Linked DNA regions of Arabidopsis thaliana. The protein of the gene in region 2 purifies or fractionates together with the protein of the main gene of each other region. This does not show direct contact. Each region holds a gene or a part of one and is shown on either strand. Other genes may lie near its edges.

Region 1 (11,506 bases), on a different chromosome or scaffold from region 2:
ATTAAATAGATGGCTTCTCGTTCCGCTGGTGTACTAAGGATAATTTCACCAGAGAGAAAAATCGACTGAATTAGTAGAGTCATGAGGCATTTATATTAAGAGTGAGGTGTGTATGCTATCACTTTCACGTGCTCATGGGGGAACATACTTGAGAACAATTGAGGATGGCCCGAGGCTTTGATGTAACCTGTCATTATCATGCATAAAGGCTAGACCCTTCATTGCACCCTGAAGGATCTTAATAACAAAGTTTCTCCTTCGTTTTATCATCTGCTCTTTTTCATAAGGATTCCATACTCCTTGGGAGCGAGCTCTGGTTGTTTTTTCACTCGCAGTTTGCGCGTAGTCAGCTGCACTATCTTTCCCACCATCACGAAAAGCCAGCCACTGTAAGAATGAATTGACTCAGCCTATGTTCCATAAGGTATGCCAAAATATCCACAAACTAGTGCAGCTTAGATTCAACAAACTACAGTGCCACATATTGTAAGCCTGACCTGTTCCCCAAGTTGTGTCTCAAAGCCACCAACAAGTAGAAGCAGATTAGCAGGCAGGCTTTTGCTCTGTATAGACAAGCAGAATAACAAGTTGATTTCACTATTAGCCACCAAGGAGATGTAATTGCTAAGAATCTATTTAGCATTTTTGCATGGCTATTTATCCAACCTGGAGAAAAGAGTGTGCATTAAGCTCGTTTGCTGCCATCATGTCAGCCTCAACTCCACCAGCACGCTGTCCGGGGTAGACCTTTACAGAGACAAGTATGTGAGGGAAAGAATGAATGCAAAGCAATAAAATATCCAAATGAAGTTTTGATGATTCTAATAATGTAAGGAGGACTCGCACAGCTGAACAAAATATGCCCAGATAATGTAGAGAGACTCATGAAAAATGGAAACTGCCTTCAGGAAAAGAACAATATTGGCTGAGAAGAAGAAACAAGATTGACAAAACATGCAGAATCACCTTAAAGACGACAGGCGTTCCTCGAAATGGACCCTGAGATATTCGTCCTTGATATAGTCTGCATACAAACTGCTGTGGCTAATACATTTTTAACTTGACCAAATATATTACCATCTAATAAATTGTCTACACAAAGCCAAAAGTGCACCTGATCTTAACGGCACCTTCTCCAATATCTTGAGATTTTAATCGCCCAATATCATCAGACGTATATTCAAAGTCAGATCCTGACTGCAGCCCTGTATAACTAGGAGTATAGAAGTGGTGAAAAGCTAAGTAAACGAAGTAGAACACAGCGGCAGATAAAAGAGTAAAACTAGACCAACAAACGTAGCATAATCTAGCTAAAGATGCACAATAATCATAAGAAAGGTCAATGTATCCCAATTCAAATACACTAACAAAAGTGATTTTTTTGTTAAACCCTTCGAATAATTGTCAAGCTCACGTATACATTGCAATGAGTGCATAAACCTGTTGCAACTACAGATTCACACATACACAAACAATTTCGATATAAAATTAGAGATTTCGTTACACGAAGACGTAGAAACAACACAGAAGCTCCAGATAAAGAGAGAAATCAAAAATCCAGTGAGAGTACCTAGTTACATTCATGAATCCGTAGCTTCCGATAAGCCGCCCTACCTCGAACGAGTCAGCACTGGTTATCAAACTCGCTGTCACCGCATGCAACCGCCGAATCGGCCGATTCCGTCCACGCGAATTTACAATCCGACAGCCGGAGAATCCATCGCCTGATTCTCTATGTTTCAAAGAGAAACGCGAAACGCATTCGAAGGAAACGCGATGAATAGCGACCAGATTCATCGCTTTTGTTTGTGTTTCGTCGCTTCACTTCAAATTACTTTCCAGGATTTAACGAGTGTCAGTGTCAGTATAAGAGAGAGAGAGATAAGAGCCAGGAAAGTTTTCTCTGTGTCTTACGTGGCTTTTAATATACATAATTAAATGATATAATCGTGCGTCGTATAGATAAATATCTGAGATAATCTTATTAAATTTTAACGGTGTATATTATGCCACGTATGAAACTCACCGAGAAAAACAGAAAAAGCTGCTATCGATGCTACGTGTACTTTTAAACCGAATTAATCCGAACCAAATCAAAATACACGAAATGAAACCGTTTAATTTAGGTGACAGTCAGAGTGTCTACCAAAACTAATCGTACAAAACCGAACTGAATTGAACCGAAATGGCCATGCCTGCTTTTCTTCAGCTTTAAGGGAAAAGATCAAAGATTGGGTCTTCAACACTTGAGAGAGTCTCTGTCTCTGTAAAAGATATTTGAGCTTGAGAAGAACAGAAGAAACTTCCAGGATCAATCAATCGATCAACTTTAGTGAACTAACTCTTGATTTTTCATTCGAAGTTATGGAATCGGTTCCCGAATCCGTACCATCGCCGAACTCGAATACACCGTCAATACCACCGCCGGTGAACTCCGTACCGCCTTTCTTGAGTAAAACCTACGACATGGTTGATGATCCGTTGACCAATGAGGTCGTTTCGTGGAGCAGCGGGAACAACAGCTTCGTCGTCTGGAGTGCCCCGGAGTTCTCGAAGGTGCTCTTGCCCAAGTATTTCAAGCACAACAACTTCTCCAGCTTCGTCAGACAGTTAAATACTTATGTAAGCATCATTTTTTGTGTTATTGTCAATTTATTTTTCTAGAAATTGATCGTTTTTTCGTGGTACAATTTGGGGAACATCGTGAAATGTTGAAGGGTTCTAGTCTTAGTGACTAGATCCATGGATGTGTTGGATTATTTTTAAAGCCATATCAATCTGTCTACTCATCAAAAGATTCCACAGAACTTTGCAGGCGCACTGTCACATATGTCTGAAGATTGTTTCCTCAATTGTTTTCTGCCTTGTAGCTCTAACAAAACAGAATGTCTATCAGTTGTCTGAACATTAGCTTTGTTTTCATTTGTATATTTCCGTCCAGGTACACTTTTTTGATAAACTAAGAACTATTACTTTCCTTATAACATGGTGATTTTGTGCTACACCCAAGCATAGTGTGGAGAATTTGTTTACTTCTCAAACTTTGCTATAACTAGAACATATAACTAATCTGGTCTGTTTTCTAGTCTACCTGTTTAATGTTTATACATTTTTGTACAATTGCGCTATGTTGGCTTTTCTTCTTCCCCTAAATTCAAGCAACATCGTTTCAGTTCTTCAATTTGAATTTCGATATTTATGATAGCCTCTCTGTATTCTGATGTCCAGGGTTTCAGAAAAGTTGATCCTGACCGATGGGAATTTGCAAATGAAGGATTTCTTAGAGGCCGAAAACAACTACTGAAGAGTATTGTCAGGAGAAAACCTTCGCATGTGCAGCAGAATCAGCAACAAACTCAAGTTCAGAGCTCATCTGTTGGTGCTTGTGTCGAGGTGGGGAAGTTTGGAATAGAAGAAGAAGTGGAAAGACTTAAGCGGGATAAGAATGTTCTTATGCAAGAACTCGTCAGGTTAAGGCAGCAACAGCAAGCTACTGAAAACCAACTGCAGAATGTGGGACAGAAAGTTCAGGTGATGGAGCAAAGGCAACAACAAATGATGTCGTTTTTAGCAAAGGCTGTTCAAAGTCCAGGTTTCTTAAACCAGTTAGTACAACAGAATAATAATGATGGCAACAGACAAATTCCAGGAAGCAACAAAAAGAGGAGACTTCCTGTAGATGAGCAGGAGAATCGTGGTGACAATGTGGCTAATGGTCTTAACCGCCAGATTGTTAGATATCAGCCGTCGATAAACGAAGCAGCACAAAATATGCTTCGACAGTTCTTAAATACTAGTACCTCACCTCGGTATGAATCAGTTTCAAACAATCCTGACAGTTTCCTATTGGGTGATGTTCCCAGTTCTACCTCTGTAGACAATGGGAACCCTTCAAGTAGAGTTTCTGGAGTAACATTGGCCGAGTTTTCACCCAACACAGTTCAGTCAGCAACGAATCAAGTACCCGAAGCAAGTTTGGCTCATCATCCTCAAGCTGGTCTGGTTCAGCCAAATATAGGTCAAAGTCCGGCTCAAGGAGCAGCACCTGCAGACTCTTGGAGCCCTGAATTTGATTTAGTTGGATGCGAGACAGATAGTGGAGAGTGTTTTGATCCAATAATGGCTGTTTTAGATGAGTCAGAAGGCGATGCAATTTCTCCTGAAGGTGAGGGCAAGATGAATGAGTTACTGGAGGGAGTCCCTAAGCTGCCCGGAATCCAAGATCCATTCTGGGAACAGTTCTTTTCTGTTGAACTCCCAGCGATTGCAGATACAGACGATATTCTATCAGGATCAGTGGAGAATAATGACTTGGTATTGGAACAAGAACCAAACGAGTGGACCCGTAATGAACAACAAATGAAGTATCTTACTGAACAAATGGGACTGCTTTCCTCAGAAGCACAGAGGAAATAAAGGTAAGAACATCGTTAAGTTCAAACATGTTTCTCTGCATTGTTGTATATCTTGAGAGTTATCAATTGTCTCTCACAATGTAGATTTTCAGGGGAGGTTGCAAAAGGAGATATGAAGGAACGAGGAATATATCAGATGGTGTGTATACCCTTTACATTTTTACTTAAATGAAAAAAAAACAGAGAGAAGAAACATAAAAGATTTACCACCAAGCTTGTGAATAGTTAGTAGAGATCGGTTTTTGTGTTGTTTATATTATACTTTTGTGTGAAAACGTTCATCTTGTTCAATTATCATCTCACTAGTACGGTAATCTGTTGGTCACTGACCGGTTAATGACCAAAAAATCAAGATTATTTTCTTATGTTTATTTCTTTTGATCATGAAGATCCTTATGATGGAGTAATACATTGATTAAACATTCACACGATGAGAAGTTAAGATCAATTTGGTTGAATGGGGAAGATGGAGTATAAAGAATCTGTACATTAGATATATATCTTTAATGGGTCTTTGTATAGTTTCCATAGATTCGCTTGATGCTTGAAGATTGAAGCTTGGAGTTATATGTTTGATGCTTAGACCAAGACAACGATGATGACAATGAGTAGAACAATCCCAAAAATGAGAATAAGTAGGCATGTCTGCAACAAAGTAAAAGACAACAAACTTAGCTTAAGCTGCTAAGAATATGAAATCACAGAACTGAAAATGAGAAGAGAGTCTGTTTAGTCCGTACCAAAGAGGAGTTTGATCTTTGAGTTTTAGCTGCTTTTCTGAGTTGAACAGTGGCTTGTGTAGTTGCAGCATGTGAGTTGTCAAGGTTAGAGCTGATGTCATCTGCCAGTGCACATTATAGTTTTTTTCTGAGACTTTAAAAAGGCAAAGAGAAAACGAACAGGGAGATTTACAATTTCTGATTGTTTGGAGTTACTTACCGACAATATTTCCTTGATGGTTCACCATAAGAGCTAGATCTTTGAACATGCCATTCACATCACGAATCTGGTCTTCAATTTCTCGAATCCCTTGCTCTCTTTCCTCAATAATTGCTTCATTGAATGTTATCTCGTTATCTAAAAACACCACTTCTTGCCTGGAATGAGAATATAAAAAGTTAGCGAATAGCAAGCATCTCCCTGCATCCAGGGACATAACCAACTTCGAAAAATTTATTAACCTATTCTAAGGCTTCTATTAACAATTCAGGCTACAGTGAGTGCCAAGTGTAACGATGGTTTGAATTTGAACTCTCGAGAGCAAAATGCATGCTAGACTAACATTTGGTTTATGCTTATAATTGATCAAATGAATTAGTAAAATAACATGCTAGCATATAATCAAATCACACTCCTCACCTTCTTGATTGTAGAAGAAGAGCTTGCTGCTGGGAGATCCTTAAAGATTCAGTATCCAGTTCAGGTGCATTATAACTGCATGGTGTGGCATGACAATGAAGCATGTGTAAGTGAAACTCACATTCCACAAAATATCAGAACAATCCTACGTTCAAAAATTCTTTTGTACAAAACAACAATAATAACATGCGAGTATATAATCCGGAGACTTTTTTTCTTCTCATTTAGGAAACAACGAGATTCATTTACCATGATCTTCTGTTTTTTAACAGGTATTGAAACATAACTGGTCAAAGTGGTTACCTGGTAGGTATTTCTTTTGTGACCACAGGAGTATATGTTATTTCTCTTTCAGCTGCAAGTCTCTGAGCTTTCTGAAACTCTTTGAGAACTGATTGGAAATCTTTTGCCAGTTTAGCATCAGCTATCTTCTTAATTTGCTGCAAGAATACAAACATAACATCAAAACTAGAATACACATATCATCAATCATGTAAACAATTCTCCCACTAAATGAATAAAATGGTACGATTCTGACAAAATTAAACCAAAATAAAACTGGTTCAATAGAAAATGTTCTCTTAGACACTAACATTCCATAGCATCGTAAGGGAATGAAACAAAAAAGTAAGCATTTGCTTACACTAGCTGATCCATGAAGGTCGGCTTCGCTAGCTTCCTTAAGTTTAGCTGAAGTATTCTTCACCAATTCGGATATCTGTAACCTTGTCTTTTGCCTGCCAACAAAAGAACCTAACACTTTAAAACAATTCACAGAACAAATAGATGAAACCAATCTAAAAAAAAAACAATTTCTCAATACACACACACACACACACACACACAAAAAGCTCATTATTTGCAATGTTGTCAGGCATTATTTGCAATGTTGTCTCACATCGATCAGCAAACTCAAATTTGTTCTTCGGTTAAGGGAAAATAATGCAGGATTAGCTTCAAAACAATTAGAAAACTTTTTCAATTAAAAATTGAAATGAAATCGACCAAAATCAATAAGTAAAACCAAAACCCTAATCAACAGAGATTTAACAAAGAGAAGAAGAGTGTGATTAAGAATTGCTACTGACAGCTTATCTCGTAATTCAAGAGTATCTTTAGGTGTTCCGATCGAATTAACGAGGCGGAAGAAGGAATTGACAGCCGTGCTGATCCTGAAAATCCCGGCGGCGACCTCCTGAGATGGATCCCCACGAGACGAAGGTCTCTGTTGTCTCCCACCGGTAAAACGATTCGGCGCCGGAGATCGAGTACCAGCTTCGAGATCTTGGAAACTCATCGTCTCTTCTCTCGAATCTCTCGAAATTCTCTTATCTCTATCTCAGGGGAACAAACGAAGACGAAGATGATGGAAATGAGTTAGGTGAATTATAAGTTTTCCCAAAATTTAATGTTAATTTTTGTTTTATAATTTGTATAAATCATTTAATCTCATGTGGTCCGCGTGAATATGGTGGTGGAGGGAATTTATTAATACGTATAAATTATTTGGCGGTGACACGCCATTGCGAGGGAAGAATCCTGCGTGTCGTTGTTGACCTCACCTGCCCTTCCGTGTAAAATTGAAACTCGGTTCGAGTAAACCGGACCAATTGAGTGGGTTTGCAGGATAAGGATTGGTTAAATGATTTTGGGCTACATTGGAGTTTAGTAAAAGGAAAAGAGAAGAGTTGGGCCAAAAACAAGGAGAAGTCCAACTTTTTTGTAATTACCAAGTTATCATATTTTATGACTGAATTAATAATTACAGTAATCACTTTGATACATAAACCACTTTTTATAGAAAAACAATGATATATTTTTGTTGATAAAAAGTAAAATTTTTATGTATTTTTTTCTAATAAAACATAAACTTAATAATTGTGTTACGAAACTCCTAACTTTTGTTTTGAACTGAAGAGGGAAAAAATAGAAATATATACTAAAAAAGTGAAAATATTAATTGTTGGAAACAATTAGGGACTAAAATAGGATTAAAGGGCGTAACGCAAACCCACACGTTGAGTGTGAGGTGTCATATAAAGCAAAATACACTCTTCCCTCTCTATCTATCTACGCATCATCGATCTCGAAGTACGTTTCGGTTTTCAGGCCAATCTCTGAATCTGCGTGACAAAAGCAACAAATTACATATCTCTCTCTCTGCGCGACTTCGAAGATCAACATCCATGGCGGTATGCTCTACTTTTTTTTTGTGTATAATTTTGTTTTATGCGGAAAAGGTTTAGGTTTCCTCTGCTGGTAGATATTGTTGCGATCCATTTGTTTATCGGGAAATTTTCTCAGGATTGATATTTTTGGCTATTGATTTGATTTCTTCTTCAATTTGGATGATCTGTTGTTTGATTGCTGCACTTGCCGACATAATATCTCCAATGCTATTTGGACGAGTTTGATGATTATTATTGTCGTTATTAATTGATTCTGTATCTCTGTGTGATCTGTATTCGTGCAATTATCTCTATTATCTCCTTGATTTCTCGGTTTTGGTTTTCGTTTATCGTAGTAAATCGCGATTGTGTTATTCTCAATTTGGAACCGAATCTCGCTAGCCAATTTACTTTTAGATTCCTCCATACATTGTCGATTAGTTTCCTTAATTGGTAGCCTTCATGGTTCATTCGAGTTTTCTTTTTGTATAGTGAGATGATGACAGTCATCTTCTAAGCCACTATAATATTATCCCTTTACTTGCATAATTGTATAATCTTGTGATAAATCTAGGCTTCTTTGAGTTTGAGCTGATTTGATTAAAATGGGACTTTCGGTCGATTAGATATGCTTGGATACAAAAAGTAGTTGTACTGTAAACATTCTCATGAAACACCTGTTTATTGTTTTCGTTAATGATTCTTTCCCTTTTGATTCTTTATGATGACAGTCACAGGTAAGGTCAGTAAAAGTTGGCAATCTCTCTTCAGGAGCAACTGAGCATGATATTAAAGAGTTTTTCTCTTTCTCTGGTGAAGTTGAAAGCATCGATATCCAAAGGTTAGTGATATTGTTTCCTTGTTCTTTGATTTCAAAATTTTGACATTTAAAGCTTTTTTTGATCAATTAACTTCCGAAGCTTTTTCTCAGCAAATTTAGATACAGTTCTCTTAAACTTACTGACTCTGAGCTTTGTTTTTGTTTTCTTTTTCTAACTAGCAGTAACGAGCATAGTGCTTATGTCACATTTAAAGAAACTCAAGGAGCAGAGACTGCTGTGCTCTTATCTGTGGGTTCACTCTTATCTCAATATTATTGTAGTAGCATTCAACTCTTACATAACACTGTTAATTTAGTAATCAATCCATGTCTATAAACCTTCGTTTAATATGGTTATACTTCTCTAGTCCAGACAAAGTATCTCTGAGTATTTATAAGTAAAATTAGTTTGCTTACAACTAATATTTGGGACCATTTGCAATTTGCATTACTAACAAGGGGTGTTATTTCAGGGAGCGAGTATTGCCGATCAATCAGTCATCATTGAGTTGGCTCCCAACTACAGTCCACCAGCAGCCCCTCATGCTGTAATGTCTTCTTCATACTGTTTTTCTTCTTTTTGATTAGTGAAAAGTATTCATCTCAACACTCAATAGAGCAGTAATTTCGTAGAGGTGTTAATTTGTGTTAATTTTCTCAGGAAACACAGAGCAGCGGTGCAGAATCTGTTGTCCAGAAGGCAGAAGATGTTGTGAGCAGCATGTTAGCAAAGGGTTTCATTCTTGGGAAAGATGCTGTCGGCAAAGCAAAAGCTTTTGATGAGAAACATGGTTTCACCTCAACCGCCACCGCAGGAGTTGCTTCACTAGACCAAAAAATCGGTCTTAGCCAGAAACTTACAGCTGGAACAAGCTTGGTGAACGAAAAAATCAAGGCGGTGGACCAAAACTTTCAGGTAACAGAGAGGACCAAGTCTGTGTATGCAGCTGCGGAGCAGACTGTGAGCAGTGCAGGAAGCGCTGTGATGAAGAACCGTTACGTGTTAACTGGTGTGAGCTGGGCCGCAGGAGCATTCAATAGAGTGGCTCAAGCAGCTGGAGAGGTTGGACAGAAAACAAAAGAGAAGGTTGAAGCTGAGCAACCATCGCAACCAGCACAGTCGCAGCAGCAACTGCCAGAAGGGTATTCTCCGATTCATTCGTCCGAATACTCGAAGAACTAATATCATCAAGTTAAACAGTTTCCTTTGTTTCTCCTTGTTGGTTTCTTTGACATGGAAGTTGGAAATCTGGTTTGGTCTTTGGGATGTACCATATAAGCTATGCCTGGATTTTCCCTACCACTATTAGACTATAGTTTGGGTTTTTTCCAATATACATATTTAATAAGTTGACATTTAAATCTTTCTTTACCCTAAATGTTACAAATCCATTTTGTTCCTAGATTATCAAAATGACTGAAATAGAAATTTAAAGGATCTACCTAAGTTTCGATGATAAAATCTAGTTAAGATCAGTTTCAATAATTCAACTTCCACAGCGAAGAAGAGTTTGACCGGTCTGTTGCATACCTCAATTCCGACGATAGCTGCTGAGAAAGAGAGTGTTTAGAAAGTGCAGATTTTAAATAGATCAAGAGCATTCGATATCTCGAGTTTTTCTTCTTCAGAACTTGAATATAAGCGTCTAAGCCAAGCCATATCACTTCTTCTTTGTATAGTTTAAGAACTGGTCTGAAACTAGAACCAGTGTTGATTCTGCGCACCCTTCTATTTATGAGTCTGAACATGTACCTATCAGTTGGAAAGAAATCAAGAACCGAATAAGCAAAAAAAGACCGAATAACTCAAATCAGAATGATCCAAAAACCGAAATGCTCACAGACATATGATGTAGTTTTGATTCCATACCTGACAGATATTGTGATGAATTTGAACAAAGTTTGAGGATGAAGCTTCCAAAACCGGGACACCTCGTAGACATAACAGTGAAACTTCATTGCAGCCAACAGAAAGATCTGATAGATGTTTAACCTGACGATTTCTCCCGAGTTGATGTTCGAGTCAAATAGAATTGGATGACATTTCGGAACCAAGAAGTAACACAATTTTTGCCGAAGATTTCTAACTGGTTTGTTCTGCCAAGCTACAGAAAAAGTTGAGCTTATATGGCCACTCAAGTACCTGTTTCCATGAATTTGAGGCAAAATTATAAATAAAAGCTGAGGAAACAGAGCCAAACAAGTATACTTATGAAGGAAACATACAGGAGATGAGGCAGACCTTGTGTAGTCAACTTGAACTTCAAATGTGCGGGAATTAATAAGCAAACCCGTCCATCTGACAAAAGGAACTCCATTATCTCCCACAAACATTCTATTAGAAGAACACCTATGTTCTTCTTTATCTTCAAAATTTATGCAGAATTTTGTTTCGTTCATGAAGCAGTTGTAATCTTTAAATCCATGCTTCAACCTGTGATAGAAGCTACTCGCCTGATCTCTTGAGGTAGACACAAAAAGGTAGTCATCAATAAATCTCAGTAACTTATAGCTCGTGGGAATTATAAGCTCTTCCTCTCTACTGCATTCTTTAGAAGACACATCTTTAGAGGCTTCTTCGAGGAATGGGTAGATCAAAGTCCTCTCGAGATGCCCGTAGTAAAAACAACATAACAAGGATGATAATCTGTGTCCCTGAGGTATTCCAGCTATTTGTACATAGAAGCTTTTATCCAACTGCAGCATGTTGTTCTTTAGCATATTTCCTATCCAAACCATTAGAT
Region 2 (11,304 bases):
TCAATGTCTACTAATTGGATCATCATCGAATTAGAGAGTTTTGGTTTTATTTCACTCAAAGAAGAAAGAATTAGAAGAAGCTGCGTGAGAGCGTTTTTTTTTTTTAATCTAGAAAGCAAAAGTGTTAATTAGGTCTAATCCCAATCGATGGATCCATGTTGTATAGAGAGATTACAATAAAGCCGTTGGAGTCGGTTATATTTCTTTATTTTAAGACAAAAAGATTCAATAGAAAAAACGAAATTTCATTTTCTTTCAATTGGGCTTTAATTATGAAACCAAAGTTATACTAGTTGCTTCTTCTTCTACTTTAAAGTGTGTGATTCTTCTTCTATCTTTTTAATCAAAAGTATTTCTTTTTCTATCGTCCACCACATTATTCTATGGCATCTTCTAGGCATGAATATTTATTTTCACTTATTCGAAATCCAGATTAATTATGTTCGCTTCAGATCGGTTTATCTGAATTGAACACTAGTTTGTGAGATTTTGCTGAACAAAAATTATATTCTGAAGTGCAAAATGATGGTGGAAACGAAATTGAACCTTCAAGCACCTTTGTGATGATGAGGTATTAGTCTTCGGAGAAACAGAACAGAATATCGTAAATGTAAGACAGAATTATAAAAAACAAAAAAACAAACAGATTCCTCGAACTGTGAGTTGGTTGCTGTGTCAAGTTCGCACAGCTAAAAAAGAGAGAGAATAAAATCGAAAAACATGAGATTCAACAAATCCGATTGATCTACTTTGGGAACTTGAGAAGATTAGCGTCGTTTCCCAAGTAGTGAAACGGAAACCTTTGATTAACTGGAGATGAAGAAGAACCACCATTGTTGTTACCCAAATGATCAGCCTGATCGTTATTATCGTTGTTACTCAAGTCACCAAAACATTTTGCTTGATGGTTCTGCACTTGCTGCTGCTGTTGCTGATTCATGTTGCCTGTAGTGAGAAGCTTGTCCAGAAACGACCAGTCTCCACCATAGTTGTTGTTAGAAGTCAACCTCAGTAGATTCTGTGAACATTCAATGTCCGTAGTGTTGATTGGCGACACAAATGGTTGGGCTGATGCTGCTGCGGCAGCCGCCGCTGCAGCTGAGTCAGGGCTAAAGAGCTGAGGTAGATGCATTGAGCCATGGCTCAGAGTGTTTGCAAACTCATGTAATGGCATGTGGATTTGTCGTCCAATGTGATGATGGTGGTGATGATGATCCAGAGGATGTAGGATCAAAGGAGAATGATTGTTTGAATTGGAGTCAATGTGATGATGGTGATCATGATCATTGTTGGTGCTTATGTATTGGTGATGATGATGATGATCTTGCTCTTGTTCTTGGTGAAATCCTCTGAAATGATTCTTCTTCTTGAACACTCTGCATACAACCCACCCATCTTCCTGCAAATTACACATTAATGATAAATCCACTTTAAGCATTATGATTAGAGATTTCGAGAGTTAAACATTAATTGTGATATGTTGTACCTGAATTTCGTTTTCGCTATCGTCCAAGCGATATTCGTGCATGATCCATTCGGTTTTTTGGCCATGAGGAGCACGACCAGTGTAGAAGACAAGAGTCTTACGAAGTCCAATCTTCTTGGAGCTGTTGAGATGTATGGATTTGTCTCTACCAGTAGCTTTCCAGAACCCGGCTGCTGTCGCCCGGTTCGTTCGGGTCCCAGTCGGATATTTCTTGTCCTTGTGGCTAAAGAAATACCACTCGTTTTGAGGACCCGACCCGATTCTGCATTTCTCTACATACACACAACAACAAAATTTGTTATAAATATAATTGAAAAAATACAATTGTTAATTATAGTCTTAAGTATATATATATATATATTTAAACACACATTTCAAATAAATATATTTACGGCTTACGGCGATGGGTTGTTATATGTCTTCATTGTGAAAAACCATTGACTTATTTTGAGGGTAGTACAAAATAATATTACAAAATATACATTCGTAGTCATATACTACAAGACATTACACTTTGGTCTTCTGTACATAAGTGAATAGACAACTTGTCTCTTTCTTGGTGTATAACGCGCACACACACGTATAAGGTTTCATGTTTCCATAAAAACTGGAAAATAATTTATCAGCATATATGAGAAGAACTGTTCAAACTTAAAAAGACACAAGTAGATGCATGTTTCCATAGAGATCACAGACAAACTCCCTAGACAATATTACCACAATCTATGTATATAATTGTCCTTTGACATCTAACTTGTAATCTTGTGCAGGCCAACGACATAATTCCCCAGATTTTATCTAATCTTACAGCACTCGCTCTATATATAATTAAAATCTATATGACGTTGATTGTGATAGTCTATATACTAATATACTGATCAAGAAATAATTAATAGTCATTCATTAAATGTGTGGATTAGGTGATGGTAATTATAGTTAAAGAAGAGTTAACTATAAGGGGATTATAAATTTTACCTTTAAGTTCCCAAGGTTCCAGCTTGTTGAGATCAACTTCTCTAATTACATCTAAATCAATTGGTTCATAAGAAACCTTCTTCTTGAGGTAATAGTAAAGAAGCTCCTCCTCCGTTGGATGAAACCGGAATCCCGGAGGCACCGAAAGCTGTCCTCCGCCAGCCACCGTGGATGACGACCCTATCTCCATTATCCTTACTCTTCTTTAAGCAAACTTTGACGCTTTCTTTTCGACCTTTGCCCTAATGAAATATTAATTAACCCCAAAGAAAGAAACACACATTATATTGAAGGTTTTAAGTTTTAACAAATTGAGAAATGAATGGGTTTGACCATGCAAGTATGTATCCAATAATCTCAAGGTGTTAATTGGGGTTTGGGTTATATTAGATCTAAAAATCAAAACCCTAGGTTTACCAAATGCATGCATATAGTCACGAAGAACAAAGGCTCCAACTTATTAACCTTTAATTTTAAAACAAAAGATGAATCTTCTATTACATATACCCACATAAGTAAAACCTGAATGTCCAAGAGAAACATGAAGGTGCTGCAAACTGAACGATCTTTGTCTGCTTCTTAAACAAGAGAGGTTTAATGATAGAGACTTAGTCATGTTCTTAAGTAATCAAAGAAAAGAAATGAAAATAGAGAGATGTTTAAGACGAAAAGTACACATGATATATATGAGGAAGTGTGAGGGAGTGCGTGTGTGTATATATATGTAGATGCAGATGATGATGACGACAATGAAAGATATAAGATGGATGAGGAAAGAAACGAACCTTGGAGGCCGGAAAGTATTGCTTCTGTTAGAGGCAAGAGGTAGAAGACAATGAAAGAGAGAGAGCGCAATGAAGTAAGCAAAATGAATTTCTACAAAGCTGAAGATATCTTAGCTTCAAGGGCACGATGTTTAGGGTTTCTATCTCTCTCTCTCTCTCTTTCTTCTTCTTTGAGATAGAAAGAAAGTGTGGAAAGAGAAAGATAGAGAAGCTTGGCTTCTATGGATCAGTGCCACTATTATTTTGTATTAAATTTAATAAACCAAAGCTGGTCACAGAAATATATGAGAAATACTTTAATATGTATAGGCAGTTTCCATTAAATAATTTTTCTTGCCACATATATAAACCTATTCATATTGGTATAAACATCAGCTAAGATGATCAGATCATTCCTATCTAGACTATATATATGTATCTCTCTTACATGGTGATCTGCAAATAATTTTGAAGATTCACCGTTCCATGTCCAATGTTGTGCCTAGCTAGGGCTTAGAAGGTCTATAGCGAATGAAGATTGTGCATGATGTTGTGCCGAAAATAATCTTTTTCTTCGACACTATGTTTCGTTTTTTGTTTCTAATTAATATCAAGTTCTTCGATTTACATATTTGTACAAATCATCGAGTATAAATACCTAGATATACATCTAAAGAATTGTGTATACTATCTTTGACAAAAAAAAAGAAGAAGAGAATTGTGTATATATTACGTATTAGATAGCTACAATATTATTATTTTCTACTGTGACGTAAGTATGATTATGAGGATTAACTATACTAATCAGTAATCACTATGGATTACAGCTGTTATATAGTAAGGCTGACTAATTTGCTTTGAAAACAAGTAGGAATCGATTAATGAGAATGAACTTCGAATACTATATAGTACATGGTAAATATAATATAATACAAGATCTGGTTTATGTATCCCAAGGACAAAACAAAACAGGAATTGAAGCTTCTATGCCCTCAAAATTGCAGTCAAATGTTGGGAAGAAAAATGATGTATCGTACCTTGAATTATGCTCCCACTTACTTTTTTAATGCATCAATTTCAGTGCAGTTTCGTTGGAAATTTAGAAATAAGATTTTCTACAAATGATCTTAATCCTTAAAGTTCCATATTTGCTCCTTACTTACCATATTAGTTATATGAATAACGTTAGAGTGTTCATCAAAAAAAAAAAAAACGTTAGAGAAACTATGGGATTTAAATGAACAGCTAATTATACTATATGATTGAACGTGCAAGTAATATTGGCGCATTTCCACTAGCGTTTTTTTTTCTTAACATTTTGTAAGACAATTTTCATGTAATTTTCTTCTGCTAATTTTTTTTTAGTTTAAACTTTAAAGTTGAAATATTAATACATAATAACGTACGTTCAGTTCACAGACGTTCTTAAGGTTCTGCAAATAGCAGGATTACTATTAATGTTTCCCTATAATGTGTATACACATGATTTATCTGCAGTTGCGTCAAACAATCATAACTGAATTTGTATATATAAAAAGGCATGGGGGATCGATCTTCAAAACTGTGGATATGATTTCCTGAAATATAACTCTTACAAGTTTATGAAATAATCCATTTGATATAAATAAAAAAGTTCACTAAACGAACAAATAGATATAGAGACTTTAGAGCCTTTGACAAAAAGAATAAGAAGAAGAATTGGAATGCAAAGAAGAAAAAAGCAATAATGGAAACCGGTACGTAGGAGGAGGAGTGTGGCACGTGCGGTAGAAGAAGCAAAATCCTGAAAGGCCGTGGAGGAGAGCACGTGATGGTCCAACACCAAATCCACAATTCAAGGTCCCTCGTTTGACTTCACTCTCTCTTCTTGAGATTCGCCTCAAAATTTATCTTCTTCTCACTTTTTTCCCCAAACGAATTACATAAAACTATTAAAGATAAAAACGAATATGATATGAATGGTAACTTTTAATTTCCTAAATTCCATGTAAGATACACGAAACACATAAAAACATTGGATTCTCACGGTAAATAATCTCTTCGTAAAACAATTTATGAAACTTACAAGTTTCTGTTGGCCCAATATTATCTTATTGAGATGTGCCGTTGCCTTCACGAAGACGTCATGCATTAAACCCCTTATTAATGAGCGTTTAATCATATAGAGATACCAACATGTTCTGAAACTTATAATCTTATTTTAGAATCCCCATTATGGCTAATTAAGTGTACGTATAAAATTCAAAGTGATACGCAATTACCTTTAGTATACAATATATATATATGTGTTGTACACCGTTTGGTTCAGGTGAATTACTGAATCACCTGGCTATTTTATAACAAGGAGGGAAATTAAATACTACCATTTTTCGGGTATTTATTATATAAAACATTTTATGAAAATTTATATTAGCCAAACAATCTAAGAGATTTCATTTAAATTAATTACAAGTGTTCATTGTTGATGGATAAATTGCATATTGAGGATGAATACCAAAAAGGTAGGTAGATGCCAACTAGACCAATCTTGTGCACGGCGTCGTTTCATGAGTATATTAAATGGGCCTTAAAAGTATTACCCTTTTTATGACGACCCATTTAATTTAGGAAGCCCAAAGATGAATAAACCTATTATTATTGTTTATGTGTTTATACTTTTGAACCCATAATTTATTTCTGTTATGTCATCTCAACCCTAACTTTATATAATCAGTATTAAATCCAGGCATCTTCAACGAGCCGTCAACAAAGATAGGAAAACGTAGTCGTTTGATACAGCTGGTATAAAATCTGAATTCATTCTTCAAATAAATTAAAATCTTCGTTGGCGTTGTTGTTGGTTGCGTTACAGATTTTGGACTAATCATTATTTTCGTGCCTGCAAAGTCAGCACGACGATCGCGTTTCGATCTTCAAAGTAGAAGAAGACCCGCCACAATCACAAATCGCGGTGCATATAGTCTAAAGGGTAAGCTTTTCGATTCCTTTCACCATGTAAATTTAGGTCAATTCCGTCGCTTCTTTGATTTGGGGTGTTTTTCCTGGCGCGAAATCTTTCCGATTTTCCCTGATTATGAATTTATAAATAATGGGTATCGCAGATTTTGGGTCTCAGTGGCTGATTCTTTTCGACTCTAGTTTCTGCTTCCGCCGTCTCATTTTTTTTTCTACGCAACAGTAAAGTTTTTATTTTTCCACCTGAATTTTCGGATGATGGCCGAAGATTTTGTGTCTATGCTGATACCTAATTTTTCCATCTGAAATTGATTTTATTCACTGCTATTTTCATTTTGTTTTCATATCATTGTGACTCGCTACTAAAAGCTTCTAAATTTGTTGCCTTTTTGTGAAAAGCTCTTTACACGGTCTATGGTAATTGTGTTAAGATTCTTGTTCATCATGTACGAGATTTTCATTGGGTCACAAGAGTTTCGTTGTTGAAGCTACTAGTTTTTTTCATGATCAAATACTTCTTTGAGCTACTTGTGATTCTCTTTACATGATCTTTATGTAGAAGATAAGTATTGCTGTGTTTTAATTAGTTAGGTACTTGTTTTCAGGTCAATGGCCTCTTCTTCGGATCCATGGATGAGAGAGTACAATGAGGCTTTGAAACTCTCTGAGGATATTAATGGCATGATGTCTGAAAGGAATGCCTCCGGGTTAACCGGGCCTGATGCTCAACGTCGTGCCTCTGCAATTCGAAGAAAGATCACCATTTTGGGGACTCGATTAGACAGTCTGCAATCCCTTCTTGTCAAGGTTCCTGGCAAGCAGCATGTGTAAGCCATTCTGATTCTGGTTGCCTGTTCAAACTCCTCATGTTAGACAACGCTAAGTTTCATGTTGGTCTTGAACTATGTAATTATGGTTTATGTGTATGCAATTTGCTGATAAACAGTTCGGAGAAAGAGATGAATCGTCGCAAGGATATGGTTGGGAATTTGAGATCAAAAACAAATCAGGTGGCCTCTGCTTTGAATATGTCAAACTTTGCAAACAGAGACAGCTTGTTTGGAACAGATTTAAAGCCGGATGATGCGATAAATAGAGTCTCTGGCATGGACAACCAAGGAATTGTTGTATTTCAACGGCAAGTTATGAGAGGTAAGATGTGGTATGTAACACTGTTCTAGGACCATAGTAATGATCTTGGCGTCTGTATTAATTTCTCTTTGATTGTATTTTATTTCCATGAGTAGAACAAGACGAGGGACTTGAGAAGTTGGAGGAAACAGTCATGAGTACCAAACACATTGCTCTCGCTGTTAACGAGGAGCTCACCCTGCAGACAAGGCTTATTGTATGTCTCCGCTGTTGTTCATTGCTTTTCTTGTTGATTTTGATTTCTTATTCTAACGAAATGGGACTTTCTTCCATGCAGGATGACTTAGATTACGATGTGGATATCACTGACTCTCGCTTACGGGTAAGTATATGCTTCGAACAAATTAGTCTCATTAGTCACTAGCTTAAGCTGGTCCATTGATAAGCTAAAGAACAATAGGAAGGCAAGCAAGTGATTTTAACAATATACTGGTCTATTATGTCTAAGAATCTCTCGGTCGTTGCTTTTTTTTTTTATCATAAAAAGCAATAATTTTTTAGTTTAATGTGATTCACATCTCGTCTTGGATTTGATGTAGCCTGTTTGTGTTTCTTGATGATTGCAGCGTGTTCAAAAGAGCCTTGCCTTGATGAACAAGAGCATGAAAAGTGGTTGCTCATGCATGTCTATGCTCTTGTCTGTGCTTGGAATCGTTGGTCTTGCTCTTGTAATTTGGCTGCTGGTTAAGTACCTGTAATGCCAATGTGGTGGCAACTTGTGAAAGCTCATCCTTTTCTCTCAGCCTATCCTCTGTGCTTAATGGTTGTTTTCTATTCCTTCTATCGATTGATTCGTGTCTGTGAGGCAAAGAAGAATACCACTGCGTGTAAGAAACCCTCAGAAGTACATAATCTGTATTACCTTCGTATCAACCACGAATTGTAAACTAAGTTGACATTTGTCTATATATGGTATGGCTCCTACTTGGTTCAATAAAGAGAACTAGTGGCTTGGACAATGCAGAGACATAATGGTCAAGATGGCAATCATTTTTTTATAAAGTGACCATCAATTTTTTTATTGTGTGGAAAAATTGATCTCAGTCACATTCTGTAAGGTTAGCCACTTGGCCTTTTAGCTCTGTAGGCGCTGCTTATGATGGGGAGCATTGGCAATCACCTCCTTTGGGGTGATTTCATTGTTTGATTCCGGATTAGAATATGAATTAAACATCTCTAATTGTTTCAAAATCAATTTAACTAGAAATTTTTTCTTAACAAAAGTAATAGAAACTTTTTTGCTTTGTTGTATTTCACAACTCGAAATTGTTATAACCAAATAAATAGATTCATATTTTCTTAAAAAGACCTATAGGTTTGGGTCGAAGTTAAAGATTAAATAAAGTTTTCTGGTAACATTATTTCAATACTGTCAAATAAAAAGTTGTAAACAAAAGTCGCGCGTCATGATTCTCAATATATTGGTTCATTTGATGTTTATAAATTTTTAATGTTTTTGTATACGGAAAAATAACGTATTGTGACAAAAATAGCGTATACGAAATAACCAGGTTAATTGTTTATGGGCTTGTTATTTTATCATAAAAATTTAACCACAGATAAAACAGACATGGGCTCCATAAAATAGGCCCGAAAGACTTAACTTCTTTTTCTTCAAAGTGAAAATACCCATCACGCGCCCCAGTTTATTTATTTTAGCGAAAACAGCAATTTTCGTATAGTCCAGGGATTTCGGGGAGGTGGCGTCGACGCGCTCATTGTGAGAGTGGGTAAAAAACTTAGATTTCACAGCTGCACAACAACGCGCGTCACATCTGGGCAGACTTTATACTGCCCATTGGGCTAGAAGAAGCTTAGTTTTCAGATACTTATAGGCCCACAAAATGTCCAACAGCATAAATAAGCCTTCGATGGCATGCTGATCATAAATTTATCAATTTTAATTCTTATTCATTGGCTGCTATCTCCTCTGATTTTGTTGTGCTCGATGTCATTGTAACTGAAGATGCGGTGTAGAAGCAGTTTTTCGTATTATCTGGATAAATGTAAATTTGTATGCATTTGCTTTTTCATTGTTTTCCTAATGGAGTAATCATGTTGATTCTGGATTATGTCTTCAAGTGAAAGTAGGTTCTCTAGCATGAAGGTTTTAAGAGAGAACTAGGAGCTCAACAAGTTGCGTTGTTTTTGCTTCTCTTGATGAACAATAAAAGGGACAAGCTCGAGCTCGAAGCAGCGAATCAGAAACGAGAAACTTACATAGAGCCCTTCCCTCCAGCATTAAAAAGGATGAGCACTTGAGTTTTTGGACTGTACATTGCTCAACTGTGTATCAAACTGTTAAATCCCACAATTTTGCAAATTAAATGCCTATTTTTTGGAGGTATTTCTCATTGGTTATACTTTGGTCCTTTTTCACTAGTACAATACAAAGAGAAAGAATGATACTATATTACTGTAACATGAAACAATTCTGTGGTTTGCGAGTGTCTCGCCTTAATATACAATTTACCATTTCACTGAGAAGAAAAGAGGACCTATGGGGATGGTGCAGAAGATGGTGTTGTGGCTCGAAGAAGTTGTTGCAGAAACCGAGCTGCAAGACGTTGGCCTACACCGCCTGCAACACGTCCTCCAAGTCTTCGTGCCTCTGGTTGTTGTAACACCTGATTTTAAAAATATAAGAGTTTAGCTCATCAATCAATTTTATGTTATGTACCAGTCTCAGTGCACAAGATCAATGAAGTCACCTGTAGTATTGGTTGCAAAATAGCAGGATCAAAGCTTTCTGAAGATTGAAGAAGGCCCCAGATTCTGGAGACCTGATCCCGAAGCTCAAGCGTACTTTGAAGTTCCGCGGTACTCATTGTAAGAGGGCCATTCCCATTTCCATTGAAGACAAGAGATCTCAGAAACTCAGGAAGGGAATTGTATGTATCAACAACAGTGCCCAGCGCAATTGCTTCACTGACTCGTACAGCTTCTTTAATTACTAACAATCGAAGTTCTTCGCCATTTGGATCCAGCAAAAGCTTCAAAACTGGTTGTAGAGCATCCTTTGCTGAGAAGTCTCTATCTTTACTTCCCTGTTGTAGAAGGTTCTCGAGTCTATTCCACCTAAATTTTCCGTCTTTGAATAGTAGCTCGATAAGGGCATCTCTTAGATACGGGTTTGGATCAGTGAGAAGCCTTTTGGCAAAATATGGGTATGAAGCAGCTAGTACTTTGAAATTAGGATCTGCGTAGAGTGCCAAACCTTCAAGCACAGTAAGCGACCTCAAAATCAAAGCATAGTAGGGCGGGACATTAAATGGATACTGGTAGAAGACAGCACCTAGACCATCAACCAAAGTTTTGAAATTGAGCTCGCTCACGGTATAATTAAGTGCATCGTCAAAGAAGTCTCTGAGAGCTGGTATGATAGGAGTAACATCCACATCAGGGGACAAGAACTTCAGAGCATAGTAATCTCGTGCCATGGCTTCATAATCTCGGTTCACTAAATGGACAACATGGCCTATGATAGCAAATCTAGCTTCCTCTGGTGTCTCACTCATCATGCCAAAGTCTAGAAAGGCAAGTTTTCCATCAGGTGTTGCCAAGAGATTACCAGGATGAGGGTCAGCATGGAAAAAGCCATACTCCAAGAGTTGCCTTAGGCTACACTGGATTCCTGTATTCACGAGATCCAGAACCTTCAATCCCTGACTCTCAATGGCAAGTTGCTCATTCAGTTTAGTTCCCTCAACCCATTCCATTGTTAGCACCTTGCGGCTCGTGTAATCCCAGAATATATCAGGCACAAGAACATCTGCTTTATCTGCATACAATTTTTTAAACCTTCTGGCATTTTGGGCCTCCTGGACATAGTTTAGCTCCTGATAAACTCTGCAGGCGAACTCATCGATAAGGGTAAGGACATCGGTAGTGATGAAGTCTACATACTTGTTAATGAGTTTCCCAACTCCTCTAATAAGGTAAAAATCAAGGCCAATGGCTTCTTCGATCCCA

The links.
Region 1: the proteins of SYP52 (region 2) and SYP21 purify together in Arabidopsis thaliana (affinity purification with western blotting, with the first as the bait; one study listed by BioGRID). This does not show direct contact.

What each region holds. Positions count from the first base shown.
Region 1 is NC_003076.8:5,528,082-5,539,587, forward strand, and holds SYP21 (syntaxin of plants 21), read right to left. Parts: upstream 7,215-11,506; 5' UTR 7,072-7,214; coding exon 6,863-7,071; exon of another isoform or gene 6,512-6,862; coding exon 6,418-6,511; intron 6,215-6,417; coding exon 6,078-6,214; intron 5,850-6,077; coding exon 5,775-5,849; intron 5,513-5,774; coding exon 5,355-5,512; intron 5,257-5,354; coding exon 5,156-5,256; intron 5,061-5,155; coding exon 4,995-5,060; 3' UTR 4,765-4,994; downstream 1-4,764. Other genes in the region: AT5G16810 (Protein kinase superfamily protein), read right to left, coding at 1-33, 149-387, 498-563, 667-747, 967-1,024, 1,115-1,213, 1,571-1,797; HSF3 (heat shock factor 3), read left to right, coding at 2,365-2,622, 3,229-4,416; BPA1 (binding partner of acd11 1), read left to right, coding at 7,961-7,966, 8,674-8,783, 8,943-9,012, 9,236-9,310, 9,424-9,945; TERT (telomerase reverse transcriptase), read right to left, coding at 10,242-10,515, 10,633-10,905, 11,005-11,506. UniProt on the Arabidopsis thaliana protein: May function in the docking or fusion of transport vesicles with the prevacuolar membrane.
Region 2 is NC_003070.9:29,940,275-29,951,578, forward strand, and holds SYP52 (syntaxin of plants 52), read left to right. Parts: upstream 1-6,199; 5' UTR 6,200-6,313; coding exon 6,314-6,402; intron 6,403-6,785; coding exon 6,786-7,007; intron 7,008-7,126; coding exon 7,127-7,332; intron 7,333-7,427; coding exon 7,428-7,528; intron 7,529-7,609; coding exon 7,610-7,654; intron 7,655-7,898; coding exon 7,899-8,030; 3' UTR 8,031-8,533; downstream 8,534-11,304. Other genes in the region: SMB (NAC (No Apical Meristem) domain transcriptional regulator superfamily protein), read right to left, coding at 746-1,399, 1,487-1,758, 2,462-2,651; AT1G79600 (Protein kinase superfamily protein), read right to left, coding at 9,831-9,959, 10,044-11,304. UniProt on the Arabidopsis thaliana protein: Vesicle trafficking protein that functions in the secretory pathway.